Struthio camelus: one gene and its partners. The protein of the gene in region 2 purifies or fractionates together with the protein of the main gene of each other region. This does not show direct contact. Links are inferred from orthologs where the notes say so. Each region holds a gene or a part of one and is shown on either strand. Other genes may lie near its edges.

The links.
Region 1: the proteins of PRKAR2B (region 2) and AKAP1 purify together in Homo sapiens (affinity purification with mass spectrometry; 3 studies listed by BioGRID and IntAct, counting the BioPlex papers as one, with this or other methods). This does not show direct contact. The link is inferred for Struthio camelus from reciprocal best matches to the Homo sapiens genes PRKAR2B and AKAP1.
Region 3: the proteins of PRKAR2B (region 2) and CDK5RAP2 purify together in Homo sapiens (affinity purification with mass spectrometry; 3 studies listed by BioGRID and IntAct, counting the BioPlex papers as one, with this or other methods). This does not show direct contact. The link is inferred for Struthio camelus from reciprocal best matches to the Homo sapiens genes PRKAR2B and CDK5RAP2.
Region 4: the proteins of PRKAR2B (region 2) and AKAP11 purify together in Homo sapiens (affinity purification with mass spectrometry; 3 studies listed by BioGRID and IntAct, counting the BioPlex papers as one, with this or other methods). This does not show direct contact. The link is inferred for Struthio camelus from reciprocal best matches to the Homo sapiens genes PRKAR2B and AKAP11.

Annotation. Positions count from the first base shown.
Region 1 is NC_090957.1:20,970,753-20,977,853, forward strand, and holds the start of AKAP1 (A-kinase anchor protein 1, mitochondrial), read right to left. Parts: upstream 3,010-7,101; 5' UTR 2,991-3,009; intron 2,920-2,990; exon of another isoform or gene 2,843-2,919; intron 2,590-2,842; exon of another isoform or gene 2,462-2,589; intron 1-2,461.
Region 2 is NC_090942.1:16,003,418-16,011,022, reverse strand, and holds the start of PRKAR2B (cAMP-dependent protein kinase type II-beta regulatory subunit), read right to left. Parts: upstream 3,020-7,605; 5' UTR 2,951-3,019; coding exon 2,632-2,950; intron 1-2,631. UniProt on the Homo sapiens protein: Regulatory subunit of the cAMP-dependent protein kinases involved in cAMP signaling in cells. Type II regulatory chains mediate membrane association by binding to anchoring proteins, including the MAP2 kinase.
Region 3 is NC_090961.1:7,999,406-8,007,020, reverse strand, and holds the start of CDK5RAP2 (CDK5 regulatory subunit-associated protein 2), read right to left. Parts: upstream 3,016-7,615; 5' UTR 3,010-3,015; intron 1-3,009. UniProt on the Homo sapiens protein: Potential regulator of CDK5 activity via its interaction with CDK5R1. Negative regulator of centriole disengagement (licensing) which maintains centriole engagement and cohesion. Involved in regulation of mitotic spindle orientation.
Region 4 is NC_090942.1:189,553,139-189,560,112, forward strand, and holds the start of AKAP11 (A-kinase anchor protein 11), read left to right. Parts: upstream 1-3,962; 5' UTR 3,963-4,046; intron 4,047-4,117; exon of another isoform or gene 4,118-4,261; intron 4,262-6,974. UniProt on the Homo sapiens protein: Binds to type II regulatory subunits of protein kinase A and anchors/targets them.

The DNA of each region.
Region 1 (7,101 bases), on a different chromosome or scaffold from region 2:
TACAGATCCCATAAATTAATAGTCAGCTTCCAGCTAGTGTATAAAATGCAGCAGCAAAGTTGCACAGAACTCCTGCAGGGGACAATTAATAAGTAGAGCAGCTGAACACAGACTGCAAAGCAATGAGTTACATGCAAACCTATCACCTTCTGGGATCCCTGCGAAAAGCAAACTCAATAGCCTTAACTTCCAGGAAATATTAAGCACCTGCTGAATAAAACAGCTCCTTACAAGTATTTCAAACTGGCTGCCTGAAGTTACACTTCACAAAGTTTAACCAGGCCATTTGCGTGAAGAGTTCCACACGAGCACTGTAGTTAGAAATCACAGTTTAAAGAAGGCCAGCCATTAGATCTCAAACATTAAATAACTGAAAGTAATTCATGTTTTTTAATTACTTCTAGATGTTGCGGAGGGCACCTGGGGATACCAAGCCTGATTTTATTACAGTCTCCATGGACATTAGAAATACCTTAAATAAATTGCTCACATTAGTTAAGCGCACATGGAAGATGAGCGCTATAGATAAGTAGGGTATGTTGCTTTAAAAGCATTACGCTCTTCAGATAACTCTACTACTGCAAAAACTAGACTTGTTTCAAATATCCCAAAAGACAGCCTGCAACATTTTTGAAATGAGCACAAGAGTCTCAGTGTAGCAAGTCACCTGCTTCTGGCTCTGAACAGCTTTGGCTGCAATCCTCAACAACCAGACTCCTCTCATAGTTAACTCCTATGAGGACCTGCAGGAATTAGGAACCTATGTAGCATGATGGATCTGAACTACAGGTGCCTTCATCTCACACTGTGGCTGGCAAGGGGAATTCCTGTTGTCTAACTTCAGGCTTTGGGGAACGCCTAGGTTAAAGCCCAGGCTTTCTAGGCAGTTGATGAAAGAGGATAGAGACAGACTTTCAACGTAGCTATCCCAAAGCACCTCCAGGTAGCTTTAAGATGGAACATGGATCCTCGGCCAGGTATCGAAACTTGGTGCGACTACAGAGAGCACACCTAAATAAGCAGCAGCTACAAGAACACACAAAACCTGGGTTCCTACAGCCCTCTCATGCAGCTCCTCCAGAGTCTAATGATATCCTTGGACAGCCTCTTCCAGGATTTTGTTTCACGTCTGGCAGAGCAAACAATCATTGGCCCCATTGGGCAAGGTACTGTACCACCACAGTGAGGTTGGCGTGCCCAACTCCCCCAAGCCTTGCTGTCTCATGAGAGCTTCTAGAAGTCCTTGGAGAGCTCAAAGGAGCACTGGAAACAGAAGCTGTGGGACTGTCAGGTGAGTGGTACAGAAAGTTATGTAATGAAAAGGTGGGTTCTAGTAAGCTTACAGCATAACTTGAGTTCTACAGGTTTCTTGCTCCTTTTAACTTACTAAAGAGTTTTAATTTTCTTCAGCATTAGGTGAGCACTTACATGTAAGCCAATTAATCAAGAATAAAACTGTGTAATCAAGACACATATAGTGAAACTGCACTATCCTTTTTTTCAGGCTACATCATATGTACATTAAGATTACTGGATGAAAGGCACATTAGGTCAGCTGAAGGCTACAGAGTATTTCACCCATTACGCAGGTAGCTCATTAAAGAATGAGGAGGTTAAGTGATCTGAGCAGGGTCACACAGTGACCCATTGGCAGAGGAGCCAATGCCACTCAGCTCCCTTGCTCTGACAGCTCCAATCCACGTGCTACCGAGGAAAAGTCACACACCCCTTACAAGCAGTTGTGCTGCACTCCAGCAAGTCACGTGCTCTTCCTTGGCTATACTGCACCCAGACATACGGCTGTAACTCAGTAGATCATTCACAGGCACAAAGCAAACAGGAGAAAAGTAAAGTTACCTTCTCCTGCTACCACTTTCCCCAGCAACAAGCCACTTCCTTTCACCTGAGACAAAGTCCACAGCAATTCTGATAACACCCAGCAGGTGTAGGCACAACAGCCAACCTTACGAAGGCAGCACACGAGCCTAGAAACGCAGAAAGTCAGAATTACTTCCATCCGATGGCCCCTTACTTTTCCTTGCCATGTGGATCGTGGCAGCGTGCAGCTTCAGTTGCTGTTTCCTATCACTGCAGATCACCTGCCATGAAAAGGATGCCCTTAGCGAGATGCCTACTCATTCTGCCCTGCCACAGCTGCAGCTTCATATTATGCTTTACCAGGTTGCCACAAAGACCTTAGAAAGCCAGACCCAGACCAAGCTGCCCAACCCCGGCACACAAGTAGCTTAGACTTGTTTCCCTCAAGGAAAAAATAAAGAGCAAAACAACAAAACTTCTTCCAGAAGGGCAAGGACAGTAGGATATTACTTCCTGAGGAGAAATGCAATTTAATTCCTACAGCCTTGACTACACACCACGCTATACACTGCCATAAAGACCAAAAAAACAAAAAAGGCCAATACACGAGAAGTTTGTCAATACCAGCTTGACGGGGCCTTACCCGACTATGAGTGAGTTTTATCGCACCGCAGACAACGCGAGACATCCCCACCGGTAGCACCCAGCCTGCGGCGCTCCGCTCGCCCCCTGCTTTCCTCTCCGAGCCGCCGCCGCCGCCGGGGGTGACCCGCGGGCCGGCCGGCCCCGAGCGCGCCGCCCCTGACCTTGGCCCGCCGCGGTCACCGGCGCGGCCTGGCTGCCGGCGGGAGCCCCGCGCCGCCCGGCCCGGCCCGGCCCGCTCCGCTCCGCCCCGACCTGGCTGAGGGAGCGGCCGCCAGGCCCGCGCCGCGCCGCGGAGGCCTCCCGCCGGGGCGGCCTGGCGGCTGACAGGCCCAGGGAGGGGGCTGAGGACGGGGGGGGGGGGGGGGGGTGCGGTACTTACAGTGCGTGCGGCGCGGCGCTCCCCCTCCCCCGCGCCGGTGCCCGGTGCCCGGCGCCAGTCCCGCTCCCGCCCGCCCCCCGCCCGCCGCGGGCCGCGCCGTCCCCACGTGCCGCCCGGCCGGGCCCCGCCGCGCACTGGCGCCTCCGACCTGCACCGGCGCCCGCCCCGCCCCGCCCCGCCCGGCCCCGCCCCGCCCGGCCCCGCGCGCCCCGCCCCGCCCACTCTCGCGAGAGCTCCTCGCCGCGCGAGACCCGCCCGCGCGCCTGCGCACGCCCCTCTGTCCCCTCCCCCCCCCAACCGTCAGCGCAGCGGCCGTTACGCGCGCGAGGGCCTCGGCGGCCGCCGGCATGGCGGCGCCCCCCCCACCCCGCGGCGCCTGCGGAGGGGTAGGACCTGCTGCGCCTCCCGCTGCCGCCGGGCTTTCGGTGGCTGACTTCCCTCCTTCAGAGAGCGCGGAGTCGGGCGCCTTTGTCAGCCCTGCCCCCCGCCGGGACTGTGCGGCTCTCCTCAGCCCCACAGCCGCAGCCTGTGACCGTCCCCTCATGGGGCTCGGCGCTGGCCACGGCCCCCAGGCCGTTCAGACGCGTAGTCAGATCTCTGCTAGGAGGCAAAGTGTTAGCCACGTGCTGCCCGGCGCCCAGCTGATGAGGAGGTGTTAAATAGTAAGCCGTCGGGTAAGGCAGCAGCTATGCCAGGCCGAGTCTCTGCTACCACGGCTGAACCGGATTGACAAATGAAAATCCATGTTCAGCGAGGTAATTGCTTGGAGGCAGTAGTGCTCGTTGGGTTTAATGAGGGTTATGTTTTCATTTCATTGCTAAACACTTAACTACATTTCCCCCCAGAGCTTTTTACATCCCACCGTGAGCATTTTGCATCCCTAAGAGAAATACGGTGTGTAAATGACTGTTGTGTCCCAAGGAATCTTGGAGGATTTGGGGAGGGGAAGCGCAGCTGAAAAGCGCCCAGGAGCGGTGTGCAGGGCCCGGTTCTGCCCCTCGCTCTGAGGGTTGCTTGCAGGACAGTTCTGGGCAAGTCACTTGGAGCAGAGTGCGAGAAGTGGTGGTCGTTACTCTAAGGAGCTTGGGAGTTTGCACTGCGGACTGGTATGGAAGAGGAAAAGGATATAGGGTGCGGCCTGAGCAATCTGAGCCGCGGCCATGCCTTCACCATGCCGACCTTAATGGTGAAGCGTTGTTAATTTCTGTGTTAATAAAACTGTTAACACCCAGAACAGGAGGAGCGTGGCCTCCATGCCAAGTCTTTGTGGGAAGAGCAGTTTGGGAGTGGTGAAGCCTCTCTCCAAATAATCCAGCACAGTTGCATGGAAAGGCAAGGAGTCACGGGAATCAGTTTTTTTTCTACGATGCTTCTCTTTTCCATGCAGCCTAGCAAAGTTTTTGCTCCTGCTGCAAACCAGAGGGCACCTGCTGCATCTGGGCACTGAGATGTACTCTGGGGAAACCGCTTTACTTGCACCCATTTGGCATTTGTTTCTATGTTGTGAGAAGAGAAAACTGGTTTCGGTTCGTCACTGGAGCCTTCTTGGTAGCAGAGGTGGCTCTGGATTTCCCAAGGGGATGACTCAAGCAGCTTTTTATCATTTTGATACTCAGTGGCAAAGTCAGAGGGAAGAAATAGGCAAGGGAGAGATGGCTCATGCAAGCATGCTTTGGGGAAGAAGAGGTAGCAGGGGACAGCAGAGAAAGAAGTGAGGACTCGGCCATTAAAACAGAGTAATTCCTGCTGATAACCAGCAGGAGCTGCAGCAGTATGTGAAAGCCTCAATCGTCATCCTTAGAGTCTGCGTACCTGTGAGAGCCTGTTTGTCATCTTCGTCTGATAGCAACAAATTGCTCAAAATTAGCCTCCTTTCTCCAGTAACCAAGGTTTCATGCTACATAACTTCTTTCAGTTCTTATATTGCCCAGCTGTAAACAGCATGCTATAATAAAAGTTAAGTAAATGATGCAGGAAATCTACTGTTGTGAACACTTTAACAATCGGATATCAAGGTAGTTTTATTGGCCTTACTAACCAGTTACTGGTTACTAGTAACTGGAATTAAAACTGCTCAGTTGTTCATTTACATGTGTATGCAGCAGGCAGTTAGTACGTTTGACAGTGTAAATGAGTAACTTAGAAAAAAAAAATCACAAAATAGTGTCTGAGTGGGATTGTCTTCCCAAATTACTCATTTGTATAAGTATTTTTCTATGAAAAGTTCCTGGTTTGCCTAAATCATTTTCTTTTGTTTAGAGCAGTCATAAATTAGAAACATCAGTTAACAGATGGTAAAATGCATAACGTGTGAAGTGGAAAAAAAAAAGCCAGCAACGCTAAGACTTTGCCCTTTTAATATATTTAATCTGAAAATCTCAGAAGATTGTATAAGAATTCCTGTCAAGTGACTGCAATCCTTAACTGAGTGAGGCAATTCAGGTATTGAGATGTTAAGAGATTTATCCAAGGTCACGAAGACAATCTGTGTCAGCCACAAGAAGTGACTGTAAACATTTTAAGTTCTTGGGGCAAGGACGATATCTTACCCTGCATGGATTGCATAGCCTAGTGGAGCGCTTATCTTAGTTGAAGTCTGTAAGCTTTACTATAGTGAAACGAAAAAATAAAATTCTGTTGAGTAATACGGAAGTCATAACTAAAAGTCAAATAAAACAAACTGCTAATAGAATGAATAACTGCCTCTGTGGCTGATAAGTCACATTTTTCATGCAGAAACAGTACATGTTTCTGAGTTTTCGATGAGTGGGAAAATGTTCTAGGTGGCTTGTTAAATTTTAGTGATGTTTCTGGTAAGAAAAATTGGCCCCATACAAGGAAAAAGGGATTAGTGAAACCAAGAAAAGAACAGATAAGTTATGTCAGCATCCTCAAGGCTAATTTATTCTTGCTTTTTTTACCTATGCCTTTGTTGTAAATCACGGGTATACCCATTAACATCTCAGACAGAACTGGAAAATTAAAGCCAACAGAAGCATATTTGCTGAGTTGCTTTGCAGGGTATGTGATCCAAGCGTCAGAGTGATACAGCAGGTTCCCTTCTCTTAGCCCAAGCTTGGTTTCGCCTGTCTGTAAGTGGGTCATTGCTCCAAATGCTGCAGTGCAGAAGAGTCCCACTCCCACAGCCACGACAGACCCCTCATCTCCATGCAAAAGGCAGAGAGCTACCATGGGTGAGAGGGTGTATCACTTCTGAGCGCCATGCCTGTCTCTGTACAGGAGTTCCTCGGAGTAGTGCAGCCATGTGGGCACTGTACTTGATGAAGGGAATAGCAGTAATTTTCCCTCTTTCAGGAATTGTATGAGACCAGGAACTAGAAACAAGGATGGGCCTGGCTGTGCGGAGGAGCAGAGAAGAATAAGACCTGGAGAACAGATCCAGTGCAGCTTTCGGAGGGACAGAATGCACAGAGCGGGGTGATGGCCCCTTTTCACCTTTGGGTGAGCTGCGTCTCACGTGAGTAAGTCAATATTCAACAGCACATACTTTTGCTGTTTGAGCCCTACTGCACTGAGGCGTTAGATGCTATATGTTCTGGGTAAATTAAGAGGTTCCTTCCCTCACTTTGTTGTCCTGCCCCTGCCACCTCAGTGGCCTCCTTGTGTTTGTATTTTGGAGACTTGGAGCTTTTGTATGTTTTGTATTGCTCTGAACCAGCCTCTTCTTTGCCTTAGTGTTGCTGTCTCTGCCCTGTCTCCAGCCCACGTTCAGTCATGTCTGTTTACAGATAGTTGGGTGGGTCTCTCACACTGCACAGAACTGTTCCTTGCCTTCTCATTGCATGTGCTAGCTGCTGTGAGGAGAACTGAAAAGCCCTTTCTTTTACTTGCTCGACGCTGTGCTAAATGCACTCCAGGCCTCTTTCTGAGAATGACTGAGCTCTAGTAGGGGTAGGGAGCAGTTAATAAACTGCCCTTGGAGGGTTTTCTCCACCAAGGAAAGGAAAAAAAAAATTCCATGGCTGCTACTGTAAGGAGCGGGGGAAGCACAGCCAGCAAGTGGAGGAGCTTCAAAGAAAGCAAATTAGAGCAAAGGCAATGGAGCCCAGCAGAGCTAAGGCAAAGGTAGTCACTGCACCGTGGCCTGGAGTCTTATGGCCATACCTTAAACATAAGTAGCCTTTGGCAACTGAGTCAGTAAACCAGAGCTTGGAAAAGTCAATCCCAGTTAGGCCTTTTCCTGATAGCTCTCTTCTGGACCCAGCCATTTGATTTTTCCTGTGTTTTCGAAGGCTGTG
Region 2 (7,605 bases):
TTTAAAACAACTGATACAAATTATGTGGGTCTTTATCCATCAAAATAAGGTACACCTTAAATTCTAAATGCTAATGTAAGGAGAAAAGTATAGGCATTTGAAAGCAGACAAATAACTTAGTGAGCATCTTCAAGTTTTGCACAGATACAGCATAATACGTTGTTATACACATTTCAAACTTTCAAAAAATTAGAGGAATTTTCTAAAAATGGGCTCAATTTTATGTACGCTACTGTAACTAAGTCCTATCCAATTTAAGTAATTCCTACTAGTATTAACAGGAGTTATTCCTGCAGATTGACTAAAACTCATACACCTGTGTAGGACAACTTAATATTAAAGAAACTAGAAGATCTCAAAATCATTTCCAAATTAAGCAGTGTGTTCAGAAGGTGATACTCTAAATGTTCTGAACTTGAACAATGTTGCTTCAGAGGTCACATTAACTACAGGTGCTAATTCAGAATTACGACAGCAATACTGCAAAGAACTGCAAGCCACACAAGGTAACGGTCTTAATTGTGGCTTGATTTCTGCAACTGATGTAATGGACACAGACTAGGACCCGAACACAGTTTAATTCTTGGCTCGCATACAACTCTTAATCCTGAGTACGGTAAATTTCTTAACATAGCTTATACCTCAACTCATCATTTCTAAAATGGAATAATGCTTATGTATCTTACAAAATATATTTCAAGGACAAAACTAATGCGGACAAAGTGTTCAGCTGCAGTGTTTGCAGGAATTCAGAAACATGTACTGGAAAAAAAAGGAGTTGGAGACAATAGCAATTACAACAAGCCCCTAACAACAAGGACCTGTTTGAATAAGCAAATTAGGAAATATTGTCAAGTTGATTTAACAAGAATTCTGCTTCAACAAAAAAGGTACTGCAGACAGGTCTAAGCTCCTTGCCGGAATTTTTTTTTTTCATTTACTTTTGCTTATAAACTCTCGCAATTTGTTTTCCTCTCTTGTATGACAACAGTACACCAGTAGGACAGACTGATTATATTGAAGCAGTCTGATTACTCACAAAGACAAAAGCAAAAAAAAAAAAGAAAAAAAAACAGATTTTTTCCTCCAGCTTGCATTCAAGAATTGCTACTTACAAAAACAGAAAGTAAAAGCAGAAAAGAAATACACTTTTAAATAGATATTTAAACCCATTAAACAATGATTTAAAGACCAGGCTTTATGCCTCCACTTATTAACAAAAGGCTGAGCGGATGCATTGCTGTGCTACTTCTGAAGAACAGATATTCAAGGTAGATGTAAAACTTGCACTTAACATACACTCTCCCGTGCAATGTGTGTGTGCACAGGCACACACTTATTAATAATTTACTATAATGTACTCATTAATACACCTTCCATGTGGTTTCAAAAATATTTCCATTTTCATACTTTCAGTTATTAATTATTCCAACCGGCACAAATTACGAGTCACAATATAATTAAACTTTCAGAATATATTAGGCTTTTTTATTATAATTTCCCAATTTTTGCCGGTGTTATAGACAACATAGCGTCAGAGTTCAAAATCACCACGTACATCTGCAGAACCTGATGGACGGATTCAAATTCTCATTAATTATACACCCCCAGCTACAGCTGCAAAGAAGAGACGAAAGGAATGCCGACTATATTACAGCGTAACACAAAGCATCCCGAAAACTTTCCCAGTTCTTAAACATCCAGGGTTTTTTTCCTGATAAAATGCACGTAAGACATTATTTTAAAAACGACACTGATACTCATCTAGCAAACAGCTGGCTTCTGTGCTCTGCTGAGCAAAGCCACCTTCAGCATGACCGAGGAGGACCAGTCCTTCGATGACCTGATGAGGTATACTTCAATTTCAAGCTGCTCAAGCTAACGATAAAGATGCTTTGACGCCGTCTTGCTCTTCTCCGGCGCACCTTACACCGACGGACCTCTCCGCGAGCCTGCTGGCGGCACAAGGACCGGGTGCCACGCACCCGTGCGGGACAGCTCCCGCTGGTCCCATAAATCGGGTTGGTCCGGTAGATGGACACGGTGCTGCTCGCTCACCCGGGCAGGCACACCAAGGCCGCACCAAGGCCGCCGGCTGCCGGCAGACAGGTGTTGCCCTCGGCTGGGAGCGGAGGCGGCGTGCGCGCGCCGGGCTGCCCTCGCCGCGACGCCCGCGCCGTAGGCCCTTCTCCATCCCGCACAGTTTCCACCTGACTTTTTCTTTCTTTCTTTTTGTTCCTCCCTAAGAGATTTCGCTTCCTGCGATTCCGCTGTGCTGATTTATACGAACCACACGTTGCGGCCACGGAAAATGTTTGACCGGGCTGCGTGGACGCAGCGACGCGCCCAAGAGAAAGGTGTTTCGTGAGGTGGGAACGGCAGCGCGGCGCTCGGCTAATGAACAACCACCACCACCACCACAAAAAAAGCAACCCCCACACCCTTGGCGCCCCGGTGGCCTCCTGGCAGCGGCGGACGAGCGGAGCGCCCCCGGGGCGACACCCCCGCCGGCCCCGGCGCCGCCTTGCGCGGGGCGCGGAGCTGCCAGCGTCGGCGGCCGGACAGACCCCGCCGCCCGGCCCGGCCCGGCCCGGCCCGGCCGCCGCCCGCGCCCCGGCCCCGGCCCCTCACCCGGGAACGCCTCCTCCTGCTCCTCGCCGCTCTCCGAGTCGCTCTGCATGGGCTCCTCGGCGAAGTTGACGCCGCGGGCGTCGGCGGGGGCCCGGCGCGGCGGCAGGCTGCCCCGGGCGCGGTCATGGCCCGGCGCGGGCGAGTCCCCTTTGCGGCCGCTCGCCTCCTTCTCCTTCTCCTTCTCGGCCGCCGCCTCCTCCTTGAGGCGCCCGAAGTACTGGAGGGCGAAGTCCAGCAGGTCCGCGGGCTGCCTGCGCAGCACCTCCACCGTGAAGCCCTGCAGCAGCTCCGTCAGCCCCGCCGGGATGGAGATGCTCATGCCGGGGCCGGCCGGGGGCCGCAGCCCGGGCAGGGACGGCGGGCGGCAGGCGGAGGGAGCGCGGAAGGGCGGGCAGAGGCCGCCGAGCCGCAGCCAGCCGGGCAGCACCGGCAGCCCGAGGCCGAGGCGGAGGCGCGCCCGGCCGGCCGGCCGCCCGGGGCAGCGGCGGAGGGCAGGGCGCAGCTGGCAGCCGCGGGCGGGCGGCTCGGCGGCGGCGGCGGCCGCAGCGTCTCGCTCCGCTTCGCCCCGCACTCGGCGCGGCGGCAGCAGGCGGCGGCGGCCCCGTCCGTGACTGAAACCTCCCCGCCCCCGTCCCCGCCGCCGCCGCCGCCGCCGCCTCCCCCCTCCCCTCTCCCCGCGCCGAGGGAACCTCGCGCGCATGTGACCCGCGAAACCATGACAACCTCCCGCCGGGAACGGCGGCCCGCAGCGCCCCCGCCCCCGCCCGCGCCCGCGCCCCCGCCGGCAGGCAGCGAGGGCGGGCGGCCCCGGCCCCGGCCCGGCCCGGCCCGAGCCCTCGGCGCCCCCCGAGGCGGGAGGCGCCCGCAGGGGGCCAGGGCCGCCCCGGCCTCGCCGCCCGGGCCCAGCGGCGGCGGCGCCGCCTCGGCAAGGCCGGAGGGCCCTTGGCGCCCCTGCTGCGCCCCCCTCCGTGAAACACCCCCCGGCCCGGCCCGGCCCGGCCCGGCCCCGCGCTGGGCTCGCTTTTAATTGCTATTGTGCTTTTCTCAGGGAGGCGTAGCGCGTCCCGTTCTGCCCTCCTAAAGATGTTCCCCACACCATTCATATACCTATACATACATATATATACATGTATATGCATCTATTTATGTTCATATATAGAACTTAGGATTGGAGGGGTTAGGAAATGCATCCTGTTGGTCAGCTGCTTGTCTAAACGCATAAATAATGCAGCTGGAAAAAAGAAAACAGTTGTAATAAAGACCGTGCACGTAAAGAGCGCCGTACGGCTGTGCTCGGCGTAAACCCTTTCGACTCGGGCCGCGGAGCGCCTAGGACCCTTGTGGTAGGTGCTGCTTGTCGTTTCTGGTGAGCTTCGTTTTTTTAAAGCGAGTAGCAGTTGCGGGTGCTGTGCTTTTCCATCAGGCTTTGCTAAACGCTTCCTGAAGGCGAGGTCCTTGAAATGCATGAAAAGTGCATCGCTCCGTAATTGCTGATCACAAAATCTGGCCAACCTTTTGAGGGTTCAGAAATTTCTGTTAGAGTCTTATTTTCATGCACTAAGAGAATTGACTGCTAAAACGTCTAAGGTTGAAAGTGCTTTGTGATAATTGATTTCACGAAGCATTCTGGATTACTCAAATTGCCTTGAAATGTATTCCATCGGGGCTTAGGGTGAGGTAAGCAGTCAAAATTTGTGTCCGTAATAGCAAGGAGATACTGAAAGACCTAGCTTGAAGAAAGCCACATGGCAACAAAATATAGCAATCTTTTCATGCAAATGAGGATCTCAAAGCCATTTTTAATTGAAGTAGTGTCCAGATGGAATGCACTGCTCCCCGTGGAAGCAATTTCAAATTGGAGTTTGTTTTGTAAGCTGGATCTTCAAACTGTTCTAGACCTGCCAAATGAATGGGGAGAGTGATCCATTCACGCATGGCGATATTGCTGCTCTGTACTGAGCGATGGAGTTGTGGAATACCTTTGAGCAACATCCTGCCACTACTGGCTGCCAATGCCGCCCGCCCCGTCTGCCTTTACAAATCAGCGCAGGGGTACCATGCAGCCACGTGTGCTACTGGGGACAAGAATCAAGGGCCACAGGAGAGCTGGCACCTGTATGTTACGGACAGTTGCACACCTTGGTCATTCTAGAGGGTGTTTAGCTATAGCTAGAGATGCCAAATTGGCTCACTTGTAAGTTTAAGGGGTGCATAGCTTAAAAGCCCTCTCACACCACTAAGAGCGTTGACCTGATCGTGATCAGGTTGAGAGATACCCAACTTGGAGGAAACCTCCAGAAGGGGAAGTATCTGACACTAGGTCCAGCTAACCACTTGGCACCTTGCCGTTGCAAGGCGTTCTTTCAGCCTGTGATACTCCATCTACTGGAGTCTTCAGGGGCTAAACGCATAGTTATCCCTGAGGTTTTCCGTTAGCCAGACAGAGCTCTCTATTACTAGGAATTTATCAGCAGCACAGAGTCCTTCACCCTCTGATCAAGGATTTTGCTGGCTTGCTAGGGCCTCCCATCCTCCTAGGCATGGTGGAAGTGAAAGGAGATTGCTTCTCTGAGGACATCCTGAAGAGCCAGGCTTTGCTCTCTACTTTTTACTCTTCAGGGACGCAGCCACAGTCTGTCTAAGGAGCAGGAGCTAAACTCCAGTGAATCTCTTAATAAGACTGGGGACTTGATGATACAGCTATCAGGATCTGGAAAGTACAGCTCTGATACACTCATTAGCCAAGAGGAGACAGGGGTAGGGAATGATCTACAGTGATGTCTTTCTGTGATCAGGAGCTTGGCTCCAAATTTTGAGTTATCACTTGTCCTTCTTCACGTGTTCTTAGCTTTATTTTAGCAACCTGTGAAAATCCAGAGGAACCTGTGACCTCGATCAAAAATGTCATTTCCTCTATCTAGCAGTAACAGACTTAGCTTTTGTAGGAAAGCCCAGTGATGATTTTATTTGGACACTGGGCTACCCTTGCTGCAGGGAGGCCTTCTCCTCCCCACACTATTTGTTCTTGTCCCGCACAAACTCCAAGCACTTTGTCTGAAAGTCAGCAAACATAATGCCAGTGGTAAATCTTACTTGTTCTTGTGGCAATGCAAAAATCATAGAGTAGTTCCCACCTTCATCAGCCAGTGTATTGGGCTTATCAGGAATGAATATATTTCAGCTGGGTGCCCCGATTCTTTTCTTGCCTTCCTTTCCAACCTGCATCAGTACTAGTCAGCAGAGGAGTCAGATGCCAGGCAACGTAGGCATGCAATATGGACATAAAAAGGGCTATTCCAGGAGTCTGCAATGTTGTTGCACGTGGGCCCATCCTGTGTCAGCATCCTGGACGCAGCTCTCGGAAGAGCCTAGGAATAGTCTATCATGTCTATCTAGGGAGTTGATGCAGAACAGATACTACTAGCATTCCCTGGAAACAAGCAATTTTCTTTAGATACATCTACTGGAACAAAGCATTTCTTTCTCATTGTTAGTTTAAGCCTTGTTCTTGAAAGATTTCTAAAACTTCTGCTGTGCACGTTACTTGGGCAGAAGGTTGCAGCCAGCCTTCTTCAAAACCTTTGCTCCGGAATAGATTTTTTTCTTGAAAAAGAAGTATTTCAAAGTGCTCTGAGATCTGTAAGCATGCTCAGATTGTTTTGAAACGATTTTTTATTCTTTGGGGGAAAGGTAAACATTTGAGGTCTTTTGGCCAACAGGATTAGACCATTGATGGAGCACCTGGTTTTAATAGGCAAACTGTTGTCCTGTTGGTGGTCTTGGTGTTAGTATGCAAAACTGGGAAAATTAGAATAAGAGATTCCAGATAGGTGGTGCTCTAAAGAACGATTTTTTTTTTTTAAATTTTCAAAACAGCCTAAAATGCATGTATCTAGTGAGACTTATCTTGAGTTTTGGAATATCTCAAAGAATGGCAGTGAACTTTGTGGTTCACATTGCTGTCATTTGGTTACCTTAGAAACTTTCCGTTCCAAGGAGCTTGTCCTGACATGTAAATTGCTTTTAAATCCTCATAGGGAGGGCAGTTCCCCAAAATGTATTATACTGTAGCAGAACAATCAGTTAGGTAATGAGAGGATCGGTTCACACCTCTCTGACCACCTTTGTTAGTTTGCACTAATTTCTGTGTGTCATTCTAGTTCAAATGAAAATGTCATCTTGAAGTGAAAGAGCATATAAAAACTTCAAAAATCCTTCTGTACAGCAAAGGGCTTGGGCCCAACATTACTCTCACAATAACCAAGAAAGTGAAGTAAAGACTCTTGTGGTCTCCTTTCCTGCTACCCATCAATGCATTCCCCATTACACGCAGGTTACCAGCCTTTGTCTCAGTCTGTCCCTTCAAGTGATTTGAGGTATGGAAGAACTAAGAGAATACAACTCGTAATGAAAAATAGGAAGCCCGATGCCTCCTACACGACAATTTCAGACAGCGTGCTTTGGACAGCGGTTGGGACCGCTTCTCTCAGAGGTCAGAGAACAAGATCTTTTCTGAGCATGTAGAGGACAATGAATAGAGTGCAGAAGGAAGAGAGGACAGACTTTAAAGCCTTGTCTTTGTCAGAATAGATTTAAATTTAGTAAATTTAGTACATTTGAGCAAACTGAGTCCACCTAACAGCCGACAAGGCTTCCTCTTGCCAAGTTCCAGCTGATCTGAATAGCTTTCTCCCAACCTTCCAAAGACGTTTTCTCCAAGACCCATCTTCTGATTAACCCTGACTAAGCTCTGGCGTGCAATTCATGCAATACATAGTGGGCAGAAATGTGTACTTGACACCGTGAGTGTAAAACTGTATAAAGCCTTTTCTCTAGAGTGGAAAGTAACTTTTACAAGCATACTAGTGGAGTACAGGCTTTTAAAGAAACTCTCTATTACCTTCTTGGAGGTGAGAAGAACTATTATTATCTGCTTGGATCAACTGCACAGCTAGCCCAGAAATAAGGGACCTG
Region 3 (7,615 bases), on a different chromosome or scaffold from region 2:
CAATGCCAACTTCCCGACAGCCTAAATTCACACTCACCAGGATGTGACAAAGATAATAAATTTGGGGTTCCTTTCCTTTGCCTTCTGGCTTCTGATTTTTTTAGAGGTTGTATTTTTAAAGGATATTTTTGCAAGGACTAATGCTGGTCCTTGGGCGTTGCATCAGCATCATGTCCAGGCTGCTTCCCAAAGCTGCTCTTCTGGCTTTGGCGCTTTAGGACAGGTGACACTGTTAAAATTGGCCTTTCTTTCAGGTGGTTGTTTTCAGTCTGTCCAATCCCAATTTGCATCACTGAGACAGGCTTGCAAACTTCTCCCAGGCATATGGAGATAGCCATGTCTGTTCATCACCAGATTCCTTCACATCCTGTGATCTTGCCTTTCCTTTAGTGTCTGTCAGGTTTAGGTGAGCTCAGTTCATAATATCTTTGGCGTGCCTGTGTTCAACCACCTGGTATTTTACTCCTGACTAAAAACAATAGTAGCTTGAGGCTGCACTCCTAGACTCCCCCTTCCTTGCCCTCCTCCTGTGCTACACATACGTGATGCCTGGGAGTCCTGCTGCCTGGCTCATACTGCAGTGGGAAATCTTAGACGCTGGCGGACACAGGGAAGGCAGCCAAACCTGGCAGTATTGGTTGGTTGTGGTTCACATAGTCTGTATTCTGCTGCTTATTTCCACCAGCATGCTCTTCTCATACAGCTTGCTGTATTACTTGGATTTCTGCTCAGCGTGTTCTTCTCTGACACCAAGAACGAAAGCATGTTGGTGTAGATGGGTGAGCTTTGTTATTGAAACTGAGACTTTTTCTGCTTGGACTTTTGCATTGGAAATAACATCGTGATTAATCTACTCCTGGCTTTGTTCTTTTTATGACCAAGGGATCAGTTTTTGGAGGACTTCCTGCTCTTTTAGAGGGACTTAGCAAGTTGATTAATCTGTAGCAACAGTAACTAAAGTCACCAAAGTTTTTATAGTGACCAGATGGAGATAAGAAAGTACTCGCAAATGGTAGTTGCTGAAGATGCTGGGTGCCAAATTTGCAAACTGTTTTTAAAGAGATCATCTGAGCAAAAGCATTCTGTGGGCTCTACAGTCAGCTTGGACATGAACCTCCTCTTTGTTTGGCTGAACAAAAACCAGAAAAACAAAACAGTGAAGGCAGTTAGATTTTGTTTGCTTGCCTTTGTCCCCCCCTTCTCCCAAATCACTGTAAAATTAGGAATAATGCCAGTGAATTCTGTAGTGATTTAGTGGACTAAAGCTGGTGCATAGAAGATGAAAGACAAATCAGTATGGTATTGCTGTTTTCAATAACCAGTCCATTCAGGTTTGACTTTCATTCTATTTTCTTTCTCTGTTCTCGATTTAGGGAGAGTTCTTTCATCCCTGTTGTGAATTAGAGTACCAAGTATTGCTATAGCCACAGAGCTAGGTGTTTGTTGGCACCACGCTTCTCCTTGGAAGATCTCTGGTTTGCCCCAGCGTTGGCTGTATCCCTTCTAAAGAAGTTTTACTGCAGCCTCTTGGTTGTGTCTCAGGTTACAGATGTGCCACCAGTTAAATAGCATGTAAGCAAGGATAGATGCTGGGCACTGGGCCCTGCTGTTAAGTGACAAATTTCCTGGATGTACGAGCCATAAAGTTTGCCACAAAAAAGGGTTAATTCAGACCTCTCCCTTCTTACAAAAGGTTTTTGTCTGCTGTGTGGATTGGCTGGGGAACAGCTCTCATCAAAGCCTGTCATGTGAGCACTGCTGCATGAAACAGATATGGTGTCGAAACCCGCAGGCTGTTGGGAAGGGACCAGTGATGAAGCTGCATAGATGACATCTGTGCTGTACAGTGTACAGGGCAAGGGCAATGTCACTCAATGGAAAAAATAAGTGTGGGGACTTTCTGGGGGCTGAGAGCACCAGAGCTGACTTTGGTCCACCTGAACTTGCTGTCCTTGTAGCTACATCACTTGAGTGCAGCATAGTCGCCACCTGGGGTGGAGCGTGTCTGGCCCTTGGCCTTTGTCCCCAGTCTTCAACAATCACATGGGAGAGGTGCAAGGTACTTGACGTGAATGTGAAACACGTGTTGCCGCGGTCAGTTATTTACTCCTGCTGGTCCTAGAAGCTTCCTTGTGGGTTTTTGCATGAATACACTCTCTCTAAGTTGAGTGAGGGCTTTGTGGTCCAGCCTGTTGTTTGTAAAGAGCACTGAGAGCCACTGCACAAACATGGCTACGTGACTGCAGTAGAAGGTGATGAGCTTGTAAGGCTTAGGCAAACGTAGCCCAGCTTGAATAGGCATCTCCATCCCTTCAGATGCCATCCCATGGTTGGGAGGCAAGGGAGGAAAGATGAGGGCTTTCCAGGCTGATGAAATGAAAGTGAGTGAAAATACTCGATGGCAAGCTCATTTCTAGTAGCGATGTCTCCCCAGCTCTGAATCAGCCTTTCTCTCTGGCAGTGACCAAGCCCTCACTGCTGCTTGTGTCTAGTTTGCCTTGCTAATCTGGATCTTCCCTGCCTTTCCGAGGCTGTCTCAAGATGGTGTTTGCAGTTTTTGTGAGGCTGCTCGTGAGAAGCGCAGCAGGACGGGCCGTAAGTTGCTGATAGCTGTGGAGCAGGCTGGGCCCCCTTAGCAGCATGCTCAGCTGATGCCACGTGGCAGCGACCTAAGACTAGGGTCCCTCCGGAAGGGCTGATGTTCGCTAGCCTCCCATAGGTTCCCTCTGAACACCCCAGCTGATGCTTCCACCTTCTCTAACCCTTTTAGCATCGCTTTATACACACACGCTTTGATTTGACTGCAGCTGGCGGCGGCGTGGAGTCTGCCCAGAGGGCAGCGAGCTGCCCACAAGCGCCGTTCCTTCAGGCCTTGCCAGCCCCTATCCCGAGAGCAAACAGGCCTGGCCAGGGAAGGGCTGGGTTGGAGCAGTCCAGACATTTGCTAATTCCCATGGGTGTCGCACCTCTACCTGCAGAGCCTCTCCTGCAGCCACCTCCCTCCGCAATCGCTGCTGCCGGTCCCTGGGGAGGGTGGGACGCAGGCAGTCGGGGAGTAGCGAGGATGCACTGCACGGTCACGATGAACGCTGGTTCTCTCAGCAGTCAGGAGCTCTTCTGGGCCTTTGTTAAAGCCACAGTCCTGGAGCGAGGCGTTTGGAAAGGGGTAACTTGTGCAAAGCTACCTGATGGGGGATAAAACCCGCCCTAAACAAACCGGCTTGAAAGTCTGCCTGTGGGATGACAGCAACTGTTCCCTCCCGACCATCTCCTTTAGGCTGAGATACGGGGAGGCAAGCAAGGCATGTCTTCGGTGCTTTAATAAGCTGTCCCTAGCTGAGGTGGTTTGATGTCGTTTTTTTTTTACCTTCGCTTTGTGTGGTTATTTCTGGCCAAGGGAAGCTTAAGCCTTCAGTGGGTGTTTGGTATGTCAATAACTATAATTAAGCTTTTGTGGTTCTCTTGCAAACTCTGGAATCTATAATTTTCAGCATAGTCCCCTCCTAGTATTCCTAGGGGGAGAGGGGGGTCTTTGTTGGATTTAAAATAAAAATTTTTTTAAAAAAGTTATAAAATAAAATGCTGATCAGTGCTGTTTACAAATATTTTAATTCCGTGTTATTTCCCCTTAAAAAAAAAAAAAAGGAGGGGGGAGGAAAATAGAAACCTTGGCATTTCTTGCTATCTTCCAACTACTTTGGGGAAGGTTTTACACAGAAACTAGTTTGTTCCTGTTGTTTAATAATGGCATGTCAGGAGAGAGAAAAAAAAAAAAACAGGTCAAGATGAAGGGGTGAAGAGTACAGAGAAACTGTTTATTTTCTCCACAAGGTCCCTTTGCTGACCGTGTACCGAGGCCAGGCGTGTGTTTTGCAATACTTACCGAGTGCAATGCGTGTTGAGCTGAAGCTCGGTGGACTTGTGGGGCTGCAGAGCAGGAGTCCTGGGCTCTTTTCCTTGCTTTGCTACTCACCGTAATTGGGACGGGACAAGTTACTAATGGCCTGTTTTTTTCCGAGGTGGGGTGGGATGCGCAAGCGCTCAGGGATTTCTGGGGAACCTGTGACGGCTCAGGCATCTCTTTCAGAATTGCGCCTTTTAGTCTTTGGGGCTTTCTGCATATCCAGCTGGTAAATGAGGGAAAACTGTGTGGGTGAGTGATGAACTAGGGATCACATTAGTAATTGCAAAGTGCTTTCAGGATGCTTTGATGAAAGGCACGGTAGGTGCATCAAAGCGTTTTTTGTACTCGTGACCTGTTTGCCGTGTGTTTGATGGGGATGGCTGGTTTGGGTGTTTTCTGTTTGTTATTTTAGGGAAGGCTGAAATGAGAGCCACGTTACCCACATCAGTTACCTACTGAGGATGCATTAGCCGTTGGACCGCGCGGCTATCAGGTGCGCAATATCAGCATTAAAGAGAGAGCACTGTATCCACTCCCTGCCTGGGGCACATCCACCGAGGAAAACACTAACAAAGAGTTGTTGCGTATTCAAGTCTTTGAAGATGTAAAGTACTAAATAGTCTCGCTTATTCTGTTCTGCTGATTAACGCAAGTCTTGCCGTGAATTTTGGACCGGCTTGTGTGGTAAAGCTGGGATTTGGTGGGAAAGGAGACAGAGCCATTTGGAGAAGAGTTTCCTATGAGACACTGAGAAATAGAGTGAGATGAAAAGCTGCCTTTTAGGTATAAACAAGCAAAAAAAAAAAAAAAAAAGCTTAATGTTAGCTCACAATAAATCCTAGAGAAGAACAATATAAGAGAAGAAGGATGGGTGTTCAGGCTTAATATGAAGTGAGATGGTATTGACAAAATATACTTTTTGTATGAGGAAAATCTTTAAGTGTGGTGAGTTTGCCAGTGGAAAAGTTTGTAAATGACGCATAAATGAAATGTTCCATATGAAGAGGGATTTGACGGTTTTCTGAGAAATTGGAGAGTAAACACTATCTCTCTCTTGGTTTTGCAGTGTAAAACTTGACCTTGATCTAACCCTAGTCAATGACAAGGCTCCTCTTCACTCCCAGAGACTTTGGGAAGATAGGAAACAGGCTTTAAAACATTTTGATTTGGTCAAATGAGGACTTACTGCCTTGGTTACATTTCTGAAATATGTAAGGGCCAAATTCTCAGTGCTGTTACATGAATAGAAGATTCATCTGAACTCACTGAAGTTCATTGCAGTTCTTCTGCTGTAACTTTGAGCAGTGGAAACGGTGGATTTTGCCTGGTGGATTTTGCTCGCTAGTTTGAAGCTGTTCATGCAAGCCTCTGTCCGCATGTTATTTAGAAGTAGGAGGAAGTTGCCATAGTTGGACTGGGACAATTTAACAAATAACAGGAAACTTACTGTGTTTATCTTCCTGATGTGCTTTGTAATGTAAAGTCAGATTTACTTTGCTAATATTCAATCCCTCCCCACTTTTTTTTTTTTAAGGGCAGAGAGGAATCTATGGAGCATTCAGTGTTTATGTTTTTATTTCTATTTGCAAGTACTTACAAATCTGCTGCAAGTTCTCTACGTGGCGAATGGGGGATGCTTGGCTGCAATCAGTGGTACTCCGTCAATTTACGTCAAGAAAAAGTTTGGTCCTTTAAACGCTCCTAAACCACATCAGGAGAGCTGATACATTGCCAGCTCTAGTAGCTAGCCCAGGAAACGATTTTTCAGCAGCCTAGGGTAAAATACATCCCAGTGACCCTTTTTGCTATACAAACTTTAGCTATCTTGTGCAAAAGGCTTCAAAGTCCTTTCTGAAAACAATTTAATACCACAGTAATAGTGACTTTCTTAGGTAGGGTTGAACAATAGATGCTTTTGATAGGAAAGTTATAAATAAAGGCTTCTTGTTCCATCCTTAAGCACAGTGCGGAGATGCTAATCATGCTGCAGACATAATACTGCAGTTGGCTGCCATGGAAGTAGCTCACACTGAAAATTCAAGCATTGCAGAGCTGTATGAGAGTCAGCCCAGGTGTGTGCTTTGGTAGGATTTGCCTTTGGCAGAGGGAAACTACCTTCAACAGACATGTTGGTGGTGGGATCAGGGTACCTAATGCTCGATTATTATTTTAATGAAAGGGTTTATGAATCAGACAAAACAGACAAGCCCCAGAGCCTCATTGTAGGTGGAGGGGGAAGACCAGCAAGGCAATTTGTCACAGGCAAAAAGCAAATCTCTTATCCATAGCCCTTTTCTTTTCAAAGGCACAGTATAGCAGAAAGGCTGAAGTTTGCCATGGGTTTATACAAGCAAAAAGTCTTACTAAAATCAGAGCATGTTCTAAAGGCCTGAGAAGTCAATGCAAATCTTTCCGTTGGCCCTTAACAGACTTTGGATGAGCTTTTGGGAGAGCTAGAACAATGCTGATTAAATTGTTTATTCTGTATCTAACTTGCTGGAATGTTAACCGCTTCCGCTCTGAGGGTTCGACCTGAATCAGGGCTGAGCCGGGTGCATCCTGAGCCAGCTTTTTGTGGGAATGGAGACACTCCAGCCCCTTACGTACCTGAGCCTAGCTTCTGTTAAATACAGCGATGGGTCAAGCAGCATGCAAAGGCTCCTGAGCTTTTGGTCCTCAATGGAAGCTCCCACTGTGAAGTCACTTTGATGCACTCTGTGCAATACAATTGCATTTAAATTACAAAAAAGAAAAAAAAAATAATCTCCCCAGCTCTCAAAACAAGCAAGCAAGCAAACAAAATCTCCTTCCGTGAAATCCATTTCAATCACTTCATTTCATTTCCCTCCCCTCCAGGGAGAGGGGTTTTATTTCACCGGTGAGTATATAAATATTGACTTGATTTTTTTTGGAATTGGAGGAAGAGAGACACAACCAGGTCTCTTATTAGTTCTTACCCAAACATCAGTAAATACAGTCTTTCTGCAATGGCTACAGTTTGGAGAGCTTTACCAAATACTATTGCTATTGAAGTGGAGAGAGCGAGAATGAACAGATGTGAAGAAGTGTGTTTGGAAGGAAAAGAGCCTATTAGCTTTGAAGCAGATTTGTATACTCTTGGTTAATATACTAACTGTTTCAGAAGAGAACTTCACTGTGAAAATGGGCTGTGTTTCTGTTTTATGTGTTAGCAATTCAAGAGAAGTATGAAGAAATCTAGCTTTGTTGTGTTCTAAGTGGCAAAGATTATGTTTCATTCAATGCAGATAAAGCGCTAGGAATTGTCTGTTGGACTCCGGAAGATGTATTTGAATTGCATGCTCAATCAGCAGGTTTTTTACGTGGGCTTTTATGGCCAGATAAAACTAAACGATCGCTAATGAACTGCGCATCTGGACGATGGCAGGTTGTCGTGAATATAAAAGCTGGTTGGGAAATAGATTTACACTTTCTTCTGTAGGAGAGGTTGCTGCCAACTGCATAGTAAAGTAATAACAGTTCACTGGCAGTGCTTTATGTTTGAAGGTCTTAAACCTCTTTGCTCATAAGATGATCTATATCACAAGCTTCTCTCTAGAGACAAGGAAATGACCCAAAAGCAATGGTTTAAGTTGTCTCAGGTCATCCTGCAAGTCACTGGGACAGTGAAAACCAAACCTGACCTCTGCTGAGATCTAGGTTAATGTGTGATCCTTTGCACATTATTGCCTT
Region 4 (6,974 bases), about 170 Mb from region 2:
CCATATAATCACAGATTAGTGCTTCATCTCCTTTTATAGAACTGGCATTGAGTATGTTAGAGAGATGACAAACAAGTCAGTCTGAGCTAGACATTCAACAAGTTGCGCTAAGCCAGTTACACTGAAAATATCAAGCTTATTAGACAGGTGCAGATAGTCACTCACGATAGTACCAGTGACACAATAATATTTCTGCTAGAAAAGATTCTAAAGGTACAGCTCAATATGTTTTTGATACAGAAAGAGCAGAAAACACTGCAAGTGTCTACATGACAAAACCGCAGCAATGTCCAGGGGTAAATCACAATCTATCTTGCATTCATTTCTGTCATGTTGCAGATCAAATTATAACTTGTTAGAAATATTCTGTTACCTTAAAAGAGAAGTATACAACTTATAGAATCAGAAAATATCCCTTTAAATAGTTTATGAACTTTCTAATAGCATTCCATCCTTAGAAACTCATGAGGGCAGTATTCCATATAACCATTTAACACCTACAGCATATGGTTACAAAAGATAAAAAGAAAGATGTTGAAACTTGGAAGTATATCCAGAAAAGTTTTATGTATTCCTCACCTGAAAAAGAAAATGGGACAAAAACCAACCCAAAACATTAAGAGAAGCCCCACTGGATCAGCAAAAAGGCTCCATCTAACTCACTATTCCATCTCTGATTAGTGCTAAAAGAGATATTATTTGTGGTGAGCATATTCCTTGCTATTGGCATGGAATTTGCCTGCCCCGAAGAATTTAGTAGCATCCTCAACCCTGGACATTTCACTCCGCACTCCCTGCTTTGGATGAAGATGAATAAAACTGGTCCCTGCCCTGATTCCTGAGGGATCCTACTACCAACTCTTCTGCATCCTGAAAAGTTACCATTAAGTCCAGCTTGTGTTTACTCACTTTCATAGGGCCTGGTAACGGATGTTGTTGCTAGGCAAGGTCCATATTCTCCTACTAGCAGTGAAGTTTTACACACCCGCTTTTGGCAAACAACCAAACTTTCCTGACAATACAACCATGGCAGCCCCTGGACAACCCGATATATCCCCATCAGGTATACCCCTCCTGAAACATGGAAATGCTCCTGTGGTAACTAATGAGACAAATAAAAACTATGTTCCATTATATCAGTCCCCTGGATAAGTCTGATTCCTGTCAAATCTATGTTAGATATGTATGCTTTGGGTTTATCTACCTATACTTGTGTATTGAGTAGGAAAATGCATTAGTTGAAAAAAGTGCTTCATTATTCTTCACCTTTCATTTCAGTATTTTCACTATAAGGGAATGCTGCTCTTTCGATCATATATTCCACTAGATATCTGCTTTATTAATGACCCTCAACTTTTGAATTTGCTGTCTGTGAAACTCCCCCCTGTTCCACCTGCCCACCCCAAAGTTTATGAAAAATGTAAGACTAACGTGTGCTCTACAGGACACAGATTACCAGAGCGCAGAAACTGACACTCTATTTCTTCATAATTAATATGCATTTTAAGAAGTGTTGACTCACCAGCTAATATTCCTATACATTTACACAGGCAGTATTTAAATCAGTTGTAAAAAAACAACCGCTATTCTAAAGCTATTTCCATTTTTAATATTGTATATAAAAACACTTTTCTGACAAACAATGGTGTGCTGTGGGTTATGTTTCATAGTTTCCGGATGAGGTTAAATCTTGATTTTTTTTCAAGGCTTTGGCAGAGAACCATAGGAAATCATTATTCTGAATAGTCTAAGGGGAATTATAGACCAAAGGGAAGAATGGGCTTGAATTTATTTTTAAAGCATTCTTTCTCATGTTTATGTTGTTTCCAGATCTATTTTGTTTTGGAACACTTTTACTTACAGTAAGTCTTGATATATGAAAAACAAAAACAAAACCCTTCTACAGAATTTTTAGTTTTTATGAAAACTGAAAGGTACCTTGAACCAAGGAGTTGGTCAACAAAGGCACCAAAGACCTGCAAAACTGTTACAATTTCCTTACTTAAAGGACAGTGAATTTATAAAATAGCATGGTCTCAACGAGCACTGAAATGATGACACACCTGAGTTAAATTTAATTCAATTACTCATTTACTTTCTCCCCATCCCATAGGGATCTGTAGTCCCTGGGAATAAGAGAAACCTTTTGTTCGACCCACTTTACTAGCGTTTTAGAACCAGTGATCCTTTGATTCTTTTATCTATCTAGCCTACATGGTTTGCACGCTTTGCCCCATAGCTTATTAGTTTTTAGGACAAATTAAAATTAAGTTTCTCTGTTGATAATATGAATAAGTGAATACGCATCCTGACTTCTGAAGTGGCTAAAATGATTATGAAGCCCAGAAAGAGCAAATTATCAAGGACTAAACAGAAGTAAAAGTTAAGGCTTAAGTAAAAACAGAAGCCAGGAATCGCGTGGAAAAAGTTATGGACATCCAATAGCAAACAGGGTTCGTTTGTTTGTGGCAAGAACACACTCTCACTGTCTTTTTATAGGGCTCAGGTAGTAGTGGAAGAAGAGATAAACACAACTTAGTAGGAAGTCAGCATAGTCTCTCTGTCTTTGTCTCTTTCTGTGAAGCAGATGGGTCACACTTTGAAATCCTTAGCTCATAAAAGCTACAAGGCTAGCATCTGTTTTCTTTCCTTTTCTGCCAGTATATAAAGTTTTGGATTCGTGCTAAAAACAGCTGTGGGGGCTCTTTCTTTTCTGACCTGGAAAAGTTGTTGCAATCCCATGCCACCTAGCATGAGTTTCTAGTTACAGTGGAATTCTGGTTCTGTTGTTCCCCTTCCTTAGTTTCACTCTTACATGCTGAGCCTCAGAAAGACTTGTCTGGATTTTGGGAGTGTCTTTTTTTGAGGGAAGGACAGAACTGTTAGCCTACAGCGGTAGACTATCCACAGCTGACGGGTAGTGCAGAGAATCCACTGCAGTCAACAGACTTTCTGGTTTGTTTCCTCCTTTGCTGTTGCCATGTTAGTGTCTGACAGAGCTGGTGCTGTAATGGAGCAATGTTGGGAAGCTGCATGAGCTTTTATTAGATCACTGCTTCTATGCAGACAGAAAGAAATGCAATGCTCCAACAGCACGCACTGTTAAATACTCATCACTATCATAGCTCAACTTGAAAATAGATTGCGTATTGATGGCGTATCTTTTCACGTCTAAATTTTTGAGGAACCCGGTAACACTGAGTTTAAAAAGGGGATGGGAAAGAAAGAAATGCTCGGGGGCTTCAGGCAGAGTTTGAGAGTCTGCTCTCTGTGCCTTGTGTGACTAAAACCAGATTTAGCCTCTAACCCATCTGCCCTGCTGAGCCAGCCAGCCAGGTGGCAAGCCAAGCCTTGCGTGAGAGGTTTTTGCATGCAACCAGGGGGCAACTCTTAAGTCCAGACTGACTAGGCAGGAAAGACCCACCTGGCAGGTCTCCCGAATGCCTTGGAGGACAGAGTTTGGCATCCTGCTTCTCACGCAACTTTTCAAGGGCTGTGCAAAGGCTGCAGCTGCCACGCCAGGTGCTGAGGGAAGGGCAGTAGCCTCACACCATGCCATGCCATGCTTCTTGCTGCAGGGAAGACACTGGTCGTGACTGTACCGTCACTTCTGTGGATGGGACGAAGCAGCACTGGCCACGGAGGCTCTTCGGCTGGCAGCAGCAGCACCAGCCACCTCGCAGCATCCCCCTCAGAGAAGGCGCCTGTCGAGGCCTGGAGGGGCAGACGGGACAGGTGGCCTGGGCCAGACACGAGGTGCGTTTTGTTCCTAACTTTGCCAGGAGAAGGCGCGTAAAACGCAGCTCCTAAGTAGAGAAGATGGAACACACACCCGTTACCGGGCGAGTAACGCCTATAACGGGCGGGGGCGGCGCGCGCACCCCCACGCTGAGGGGCGGGGCGGGGCGCTGGCGAGCGCATCCTCCTCCTCCTCCTCCTTCCCAGGATTCCTTCGAATTCCCGCTTTGGCGGCCAATGAGGACGCGGCGGGAGCCGCCACGTGACGCCCTCCCTCCTGCGGGGGGGGGGGCGCGCGCGAGACTGCGGTGGGTGCTGGGTGGGGGGCGGAGAATCGTCGCGAGAGCGGCACGCACGCGCGCCGAGAGCGCGGAGGGGGGGCGGGGGGAGGCGGCGGCGGGGGGCTGCGGCGGTAACGGGGGCGGGCGGGCGGGCGGGCGACGACGGGGCCGAGCTGGGTGTTCGCTCTGTTGCTTTAGGAGGCGAAATGGCTGCGGGCGCCGGATGCTGAGGAGGCAGTCAGGTACGGGGCGCCCGCTCTTCTTCCCCCCTGCCCTCTTCCCTCCCCCACCGCCCCCCTTTTGGCGGCGGGGGGCGAGGCGGCCGTTGCTTCCGTCCGTGCGCGAGGCTGGGGGAGCCGTTGAGGGCGGGGCGGCGGCGGCGGCGGGGCAGCGCTGGCTCCCGGCCTGCCGGGCGGCGGGGGCTCGTCCCCACAGGTGGCTCCCGGCGGGGCAGGGAGGTGAGGATGCTCTGCCCCTTCTCCGCGCTCCCCTCCCCCCGCACCTGCGGGGAGCAGAGCCGGGGGTGCGCCGCTGCTGGCTCCTCCCCGGCGGGCTCTGCCTGGCCTCGGGCATGGCGCTTCTTCACCGGCCCGGCGCTTCCCTGCGCCCGCGGTGGGAGCAGCGCGCCTACCTGAGGGGAGCGCAGCGCCCTGGGCCGCGGTGGCGGCGGGGCGGTGTTGGCGACCCCCCTCCGTGTGGGCTGCGCAGCGGGGCGCGGCGGGCTGCGCCGGAGGCCTGCCGGCCGGGGAAGTCCGCTAGCCCGCTCGGCGGAGGCCGTCTCGGCTGCCTAGTGGCTTGTTTCGTGGTTGATGCACACGGGTTCAATAAGTTCACCTCGTCCTCGGCGTTTAGCATTTTAAAAGTGGCTTTTCTTTTTCCCCTTCCCCATCCTTCTCCCAATTCCTTTCCTTGCTGAAGAGAGGGGGAGGGAGTGTTGTGCGTTCGCTTTCTTCGCTCTTCTGTGCAGCTCTCTCTATGTCTAATGAAGTTACTTCTTTCTGTAGGTTTCTGTGGTTTTCCCTAATATCTATTTAAAAAAAAAAAAGGTTATGAACTGCGGCTGTAGATCCTGTGCAATAAGATTCGCATTGAAGCCTTGAGATATTATTGCAGTGCAAATAAATCACTATGAAATAGGGTGAAAAATAAGTTTTATTTTGTCTGGGAAAGATCAATAGTAATAAAATCAATGGTAGCACAGTGCACTTAAGTTGTCCATATTAGAGTTGGAAAGACAGTCTTACTTGGGTTGAAAGTTTATTTCATAATTATACAGTTAGTCTTTAGTCTTGTGAGAGATACTGTTAGTATTAATTCTTGAGAAATTACCTATTTATAAATAGTGCTGGTCCCATTTGTCCAGGCAAATTCCTTGGTCTTCATCCATGAGCAGGCAAGGTGACTTTTTGAGACTTAGTAATGAAATTGTGCTGTCTTTTCTGATAAATGATAATATTTTTTTTTATCCTTTGTAGATTCTTTAAAATATATTGACAGTTGGAAGAGTATAGCAATGGAAAGTCTTGCACAGTATGGAAAAATAATAAAAATAAATTAGATTATTCCCTCTTCCTGTTAATCATTTGGTATGTTACAGTATTAAAAAGACCCTCCTAAACAGGGTATTCTCTGGCAAAGTGCTTCTCCAGGGGAAATAAGATTGCTTGAAAAATGTAATGCTACTATTGAAATGCTGTTACTTACACAATCATTTTAAAAAAAGAAAGTTTAGCTGTGTTGTGTTACACAACAGAATAAAGTGCAAAAACATGAAGTTAATTGCATAACCCCCAAAGTCTAGACTAATGGGTGTTTTTGGTATGTTAGGTAATATTTTTCTTAAAGGCTATATTTGAGAATTCACCCCGCCTCCCAAAAAGTTTCTTATGTTTTAACAGGTGTTCTTTATGCTTTAAAAGGTTTTCTGGTGTTCTAACAGTTGAGAGGTCTGCTTGCTTAGATGATATTTAATTTGATTTTTTTTTTCCCTGTAGTGGCTTAAAAATGTTTCCTTTAGGTGAACAAAAGCAAATATCCCTTTTGTTTAAAGTCCTCCTTGTGTAGTAGGGAGGAAAAGTGAAAAACAGTAAAAGGTTTTTTGAAGGGTGAAGGAAAGGGAATGATTCTATGGTTCTTTAGTGTTGCTACAGTGGCATTCAACTGATTAGTGCTATTTTTATGGCTCTGATGCCATCTGTGTTGCTGATATGCAATTAGAAAGTAAATAAAAATCATTTTAATATTGAGTCAACTTGCACAGGGAAAAGATGAGTACTTGCTGTTTACTATAGTGAAAGAGTTTATTTTTCAAGTTTTGGAGAAGATACAGCGTGAGAAATGTTAATATTTTCTATAACATTCTATGGTGTAGTTATTTTATGATAAAATGTGAAATGTTTATCATTATACTGTAGCAGTATTAAAAGAGACAATTTTCTGTGGTAGTTGCTTATCCAACTTTTTTAAAAATAACAAAGAGGTTCAATTCAGGGTAGATGGAAAACTGCAAATTTTCCAGATTTTTCAGCCATATATTCTGGAACAAATGGCTGCCCTTTTTTTTTTTTTTTTTTTTTGAAATGATTGCCTGTTTTAATAATTGAATGTTGAAAATCTTTTTTACAAAAAGAAGGCTAAAGACAGTGATGCAGTATGCTGGCAATACCACTGTAAGAGTGGAATCAGTGAACCAAAAGGGAATGGAGGTCTTTTTATAAAGAAAATATTTGAGCCAAATCTTCAGGTAGATCTTAGTGTACAATTGATGAACAACAGTGCTCTATTTTTAGACCTTATGAGCATAGTAACAAGCATACTTTTAATTGGAATGTGTTCTGAAGTATTTCAAAAGATGCAGTTAATGAATTGAGGCACATGTAGTTCTGACCAAAAAACAAAGTCATTTAGACTTTAATTTATGTTTTACTTAATGCTGGAAAAATATTTTTAGCAATG